Oryzias latipes: one gene and its partner. The protein of the gene in region 1 purifies or fractionates together with the protein of each later gene. This does not show direct contact. Links are inferred from orthologs where the notes say so. Each region holds a gene or a part of one and is shown in the gene's direction. Other genes may lie near its edges.

Region 1 (3,231 bases):
TTCTGAAATATGGAACTGAGACAATAATATGGTGATAATGGCGTGTAAGCAAATGATAATGACGTAAACCCTAACATTACTCCCTTTTTATCATTTGATGTATTTTAGGCACTGGAAACGCTTACAGGAGCCTTATTCCAGCGGCCGCCACTGATCGCTGCTGTGAAGCGCCAGCTTAGAGTCCGGACCATCTATGAGAGCAAACTGATAGAGTATGACCCGGAACGAAGGCTGGGTAAGAACCCGGCACTGCCACTTTGTATATTAGGCTCCATCCGTCACTTTGATGGTTGTGATGAAACTCACCTGGACAGGTGATAAAGTAGACCTTGGAACCTCCTGGGACTTAAGTTTATCAGCTTGAGAACTTCAGATTTAGTACCTGGAGCGTTTGCTGTTCACAAACAGGACCCACCAAGCCCCCCAGTGCTGGTTCCTGCGGCTGCTTTAGGAGTTGGAAGTTCAGTCGCTGATGTGTGGTGACGGCCGTGCTTTGCTGTTGTGTTGCAGGCATCTTCTGGGTGAGCTGTGAAGCAGGAACATACATCCGGACTCTGTGTGTGCACCTGGGGCTGCTCCTCGGCGTTGGCGGTCAGATGCAGGAGCTGAGGAGAGTCCGATCTGGCGTTTTGGGGGAGAAGGTCAGCCCTGTTACCTGTTGGTGTGAAGTCACCTGTCCAGAGTGTTGAGTGCAGCTCTGCTGCTTGGTGCAGACCTGAAAATTAGACTCTGGAACATTAACGGCAGCTGAGAATCTGAAGTGCGGTGTGTGTCCAAACTACGGAGTCTTTCTTCTGCCACATCTGCGCTGAGGGCTTGTGTTCTTCCAGGACAACATGGTAACCATGCACGACGTTCTAGACGCGCAGTGGCAGTTTGACCACAACAAGGACGAGACGTACCTGCGAAGGGTCATTTTCCCCCTGGAGAAGCTGCTGGTGTCGCACCGGCGGCTGGTGATGAAGGACAGTTCGGTGAGTCTTCCTGGAAGGTTTTCAGTGCATTGAGGCGGTGCAGTGTGGTCTGATGCAACACAACTTTGTAGGTCAACGCCATCTGTTATGGAGCAAAAATCATGCTGCCAGGTGTGCTCAGGTATGAAGACGGCATCGAGGTTAACCAGGACATTGTTGTCATAACAACCAAAGGAGAAGCCATTTGCACAGGTGAGGTTTGTGAAGGACATGTACAGGTGTGTCCAGGCCACATGATGACTAGAGAAGCTGCAGCAGCCTTCGGGCCGTGGCGACCTTTTATCTATCACCCTTGTCTGATGGCCTGTCGGTCCAAACGTTCGATTCCTGGATAAAGCAGACATAAGTGACAAATGCTTTCTGCTCTCCAGCTGTTGCCCTGATGACCACGGCCGTCATCTCCACATGTGACCACGGCTTTGTGGCAAAGATCAAAAGGGTGATCATGGAGCGGGACACTTATCCTCGGAAGTGGGGTCTGGGCCCAAAGGTATGACACTTCCTGCTTTTACATGCTGGTTCTTGGATTATTAAGTTGTGGTTGAGACCAACCAACCTGTTTCTGGTTAGGCGACTCAGAAGAAGGCGATGATTCAAAAGGGTCTCCTGGACAAACATGGAAAGCCCAACGGCAGCACGCCACAGGACTGGAAAGAGCACTATGTGGACTACAGGTATGGCGGTGGGCGGAGCAGTCCGTCTGACCTGCAGACAGTTATCCCTCTCTGAGCTGCCGTGCTCCTGGAGGGAGTCGCTCTGCTACAGAAACTCTCAGTTGGAGCTTCTTCCAGCACTGGTGTCATGAAGCCCACCTGAGGACATTACTGTGTTGATCACCTGCCAAACTAACAGAGTTCTGTTTCCACAGCGTCTCAGTGGCAGCAGCAGAAGCTCCTGACTCTTCAGTGAAGGTAAAAGATCTGCTTCTAAAGGTCACCTGCTCCAGTTCGGCTTTAAACTTTCCAATTTGACTTAATTTGTCAGTTTTTGCTGAATAAACTTTTCCCATAAAAGTTGGATTTTGGTTCCAAGGGATTTATTTAGAATATCTTATTTTATATGCAGCGAAGTGTTTTTTCTGTGGAACATGATGCAGGAACTCTATAAACCTGGGTTCTGTTCTGCATGAAGTCCACGTGAAAGGAAGCGAATGTGGCTTGAAGCAGCCTTTTGTGTTCCAGAGGAAAAGGGAGGCATCAGGCAGTGATGGCGAAGCGGCGCCCACGAGCGCGTCCCCAGAGGAGATGAAGAAAGAAAAGAAGAAAAAGAAAAAGGAGAAGCGGTCCAGAATGGAGGAGGCGGAGCCACAGGAGACGGACACAGTGCAAGATCAGGTCTGTAATAAACGAGGGAACACAATGGGCTGGACCATCCAGAAGCTCTGAACAGTCTCCTTTCCTACAGGTCACAGAAAGTGCCAAGAAAAAAAAAAAGAAGAAACGAGAAGAACCTGGCTCGGAGTGATGATGTCATAAACGGGCTTGTCCGAACTTCTAATGGGCCTCAGCAGTCTGTGGCGGTGTCATGGCGTCTGTGGGGATGGCGTGTTTTGTGCCTGCAGAAACGACCTCATGCTGACAACATTCAGAAGCAGAAGAGTTTTTGTATAGAAGTGATCAAATTCTTGTGTAAATATTTTACTTTTTTATGGCAAAATAAAATAAATTTTCTGTTTGGAACTGAACAGTTAATGGTGCACTGGTGAGCCAAAAAAAAGATCTGTGGTCTGCCGTAACCCTGGATTACAAGAAAATGGGTTAGATGGAACACTAGGGGTTGGTAGCCACATTTTTTGTATCTTCAACACAAATGTATTCATGTTGATTTAAAGAAAAAGGGTACTTTTCAATACGAGGCAAGAAGGGGGGGCAGGTGCTGAAGTATGTACCCGACGGGCATGAACCCGTTTTGTTTCTGATAGTTTTTAGGTCAATTTGTAACAACCTCGGTATGGATGAGTTTGGCTGATAAAGTCACTGAATGTGGATTTCAGTGAAAGGTCAGACGAGGTAGAAGCAGGGAGAGAGAGGAAGGTACTGTCCCACCAAAAACTGATTGATGGAAACTAAGGAGACAAACGCTGAAAGAGAAGAAGCAGTGATGCAGTGAAAGCCCACAGAGAGGAAACAGCTGGTCAGGAGATGGAACCAGTGAGAGGCCATGCCCAAAACCACCTGGACTAACTGACCCCCCCCAAGTCATGCAATTTCACATACAACAATGTCTAAGTGAAATCACACTGAGGGATGTCCTCCCT
Region 2 (3,754 bases), on another chromosome or scaffold:
TAACATAAACCAAAAGAGAAAATTCAACAGCAAAACATCTACAAATGAAAAAATGTTGAGATTTTTAAAAGTTGCTGAATAAACTAAGTAACACTTATGATTAAACATTTTGGATTTCTTTACATCATTTCAATTGGTTAAAAAAAACTCCAAAAACAGTAGAACATATGATACATTTTACTCAAAAGAAAAAAGTTGATAATTAATTAGTCATGGTGCTGCAGCAAATAATTAGCAATGATATTCATTCATGAACCTGTCAAGAAACCAATGTTTTTTTTCATAGTTGAACGTGTTTTTACTATTTCTGGCTTTAATAAAAGCTGTAATTTTCTCTTTATTAAAAAAAATTGGAAAATTACATACTCAATCTAGTTATTTGGGGGGGGGGGGGGGGGGGTAAAAGTAAAAAGACCAATATTGGTACCTATTGTAACTGTAACAACAAAAATGATGTATTCACTTTATGGTCTCTACAGAAAAGCCAGTTTAGCTGCTCAAAACAACAGCAGAAAGAAGTTTAACGGACAACGGTAGTTTGGTGACAAAGATCTGCAAAACCACGATATGAATGGAACATTGATTTTGTGCGTAATCTCAGAGGGTGCAGCACAGGTCAGACAAGCCAACAGAACGAATTGAAAATCATTTCTAAATTTTAATCCCTCTAAAATGTAGCTTTTTCCCGGATTTATTCCATTGCGCACCCTCTCGCGCACATGCGGAAAAACAGAGCCCCGCGTGCAGCGACAGCAAACACGTGTCTGTTACTGAATCAAGTTCTAATGTGAACCGGAAAGACGAAACAATCTTCAAAATATAAGTCTTCAACTTTTAAAATTTTGTCTCGGAATACACAAAATATGGGTAGTTGTACGTTAAATTTTCATTGCTTAAGTAGCTTTAATTACTTTAATAATATTACTAGCTACCTCTTTTTCTGGCTGATCTTTTTCAAGGGTTCTCACTGCAATTCACTTGCTATCACTCAATTCTAATTTTCTCTCACACCAAACTATCACAATTTATTCACGCATCACATTCACAAATGTTCATTTAGGTATTTCTGTTGCATGCTTCCGAGCAACTATAACCTTGAAACTCATTTAAACGTCTTTAACCACTGTTCTTTCTTTGTACCGCGCTCAGATCAGGTCCAAACTATCTCCGTCATTGAAACGTCCCTCCGCTGGACTTTTATTTTGAAGGTAACGCAAAGGAAGAAGCTTCAGAATTCTTCCGCTTTGAAGATTGTTGAAGTGTAGATTCAGTTGCTAGTTTAAGTAGGCGACATTTATCCTAACTGAAGCATAATTTATGCCTTCCTGGAATGTTTAAGAAGTTTTAAGGTAACATTATATTATTTCTTTTGTGTTTTAGTAAACAAAATTTGTGTTCAGCATGATATTAGCTTGCAAGCTAATATGCTAATCTGTTTGTTTATACGTTTATTTTCTTAGCTCCTCTAATTCACTGGTTGTTGCTAATCTGCTAGATATCTGGTTGTTAAACAAAAATAGACTGTAAAAGTCTTCTTATTTTATAAAGAAGGTTTCTGATAAAATAGGTTTGGTAATGTTTTATAATGGTCGTATTATTAGCCTTAGCTTAAACGATCATGTACAGCTACAGGTAAAGTTTCGCTTTTTATTTTTTTTATTTATTTATTTTTAAGCAAAGAAAGCTTTTTAACATTACTTACTAACAAATTTAACTGTGTTGGTCGGCAGATGGATGCAACATTTCCAAAAGAAGAGGAGGATAAAGGATTAGATCAGGAGTTGCCTGTGCAGATAAATGAGAATGCAAAAGTAACAGGAGATTTTCACCAGGAATTATTAGTGCCAATAGAAGAGGAAGAAAATGTCACAACCGTGACAGATAATAGGCTGGAGTTACCAGAACAGATGGAAGAAGATGAGACTAAAAGATTAAGTCAAGAAAACCACCTGGAGGTAGAGATGAAAGAAGGGGGGCATGAAAGAAAAATTGGGGAAAGTGATCAAGTGTTACCAGGGCAGCTAAAAGGGAAGGAAGAGCCGAGATTACTCGTGAACAATGAACGACTTATGTTAAAACAAAAGGAGAAAGATGGAACATTGAGAGAAACTGAGCAGGAATTATCAGTGGTGGAAAAAGAAGAAGAGGAGGAGGAGATGGAGGTTTCTTTGGCAAAACCAGAGGCAAATCCCATTATGACCCTTAACAAGGCCACACCCCCATATTCAGAGACCCGTCCTGAAAAAACAAGAGATGAGCAGACGCCAGTATCCTTGGTTGCAATGACCGTATGTATGGTTGAAAACAGCGAGGATGAAGAGGAGACTGAAGATTCAGACAGGTACTCACACACACACACACAGATCAATGAAGTGGTAGATCTTTTGTTTTTGCTTTTTACATCATATAACATGAAATGAAGGCGCTTTAAGGGGATAAAGATGATTCTAAATCCTCTTTTTCCCATCCCCAGTGATAGTTCATCCTCTTCTTCATCTTCTTCCTCATCCTCCTCTTCGCCCTCCCGTCCCTTGTTCGAGGATGATGATGATGAAGGCTTCAGCCAGCCGGTCCCTGTCAAAAGTAAAGATGAAATCTGCTTTGAGGTCAGTCTTGACACTTTGTTTTGAAAGCTCAAATAAAAGCACAAGCGTGTTACATTTCTATAACCCTAAATTTGCAGCTAAATTCACACTTTTTTTAGATTTATTTATAATCTAGCATGATGTAGTGTTCATTTAAAAAAAAGTTTTTCAAAAAGAATTTTTTTTTAAAGAAGCGAGTGGATCACGTTGTTCCTTTATTAATGTCCTTATAGATATGAAAGGAAAGAGCGTCCATTTAAATTGAACCAACTTTTAAAAAGAAAAGAAAAAAACACCTTGTATTTTTGATAACCGATTATTCTAACATAAAACATGCACTCTAGCTTTTTAGGATTTAAAGACATTACTTTTGTTCTTGCTTTTTACGTTTTGTTTTCTACATTAGAAATCAAGTCTATATTTTAGATGTCACATTGCCAAAGAGGCTTGACAAATTTGTGCTGGCAGTGCAGAAACAAAAACAATGGTTCAAAATAAATCAAAAGCAAAAGATATTGGGAAAATCGCTTCTTTTAATGTTTTATCCAACCAATTATTTGCCTTCACCAAGATTATTTAGTCATTCAGTTTTTTTCGGATTTTGCAGGGCATTAAAAAGGAAGTAAGTGATCTTGAGGGCAACCTAAAGCAACAGGCAGATGGTTGGACCTGAACAGGAAAAAAAGAAAATATCAAATTAAAGAAGAATCTTCTAAAGGCCCGTACACACCGGGACGAATATTTGCCAGGCGTTATTCGCCAGCGTTTTTCGCCACGTTTTTTGTGTTCACACCCAGGCGATTTTCGCTGACGATGAGTGGAGTGAACATGCAATTTCATTCCCTGACATTAGATGGCGCTTAATGTAAAACAGAAATACTCCTGTACACAAGGTGGCGCTGCGCAACTTTATGCTTCTTAAAGTCGCTTTTCACTCAGAAGAAGAGAGCAAGTATTTACACGCTTGTCAGAATCAAACAAAGAAAACATGAATATTTCAAGCACCAGTAGCTCCAACTGGTGCTTCGTTCGGGGATATTTTAGAATGTCCGTCATTATTGCTTCGCGGCTGTGTGTAGACGCTACTTGGCGTCTATCTTCTTCGCTGGTATGTGTGCTCAGCAAGGCAGTTTTGTGTTTGAGCGCCCCCAAGTTGTTTTACTGTAACT

The links.
Region 2: the proteins of dkc1 (region 1) and H/ACA ribonucleoprotein complex non-core subunit NAF1 purify together in Homo sapiens (co-immunoprecipitation; 7 studies listed by BioGRID and IntAct, counting the BioPlex papers as one, with this or other methods). This does not show direct contact. The link is inferred for Oryzias latipes from reciprocal best matches to the Homo sapiens genes DKC1 and NAF1.

Annotation. Positions count from the first base shown.
Region 1 is NC_019880.2:44,460-47,690, reverse strand, and holds the end of dkc1 (H/ACA ribonucleoprotein complex subunit 4), read left to right. Parts: intron 1-108; coding exon 109-235; intron 236-510; coding exon 511-641; intron 642-830; coding exon 831-974; intron 975-1,045; coding exon 1,046-1,166; intron 1,167-1,202; exon of another isoform or gene 1,203-1,279; intron 1,280-1,345; coding exon 1,346-1,464; intron 1,465-1,544; coding exon 1,545-1,648; intron 1,649-1,842; coding exon 1,843-1,885; intron 1,886-2,155; coding exon 2,156-2,308; intron 2,309-2,378; coding exon 2,379-2,438; 3' UTR 2,439-2,658; downstream 2,659-3,231.
Region 2 is NC_019859.2:6,670,429-6,674,182, forward strand, and holds the start of H/ACA ribonucleoprotein complex non-core subunit NAF1, read left to right. Parts: upstream 1-1,217; 5' UTR 1,218-1,349; intron 1,350-1,730; coding exon 1,731-2,341; intron 2,342-2,473; coding exon 2,474-2,606; intron 2,607-3,754. UniProt on the Homo sapiens protein: RNA-binding protein required for the maturation of box H/ACA snoRNPs complex and ribosome biogenesis.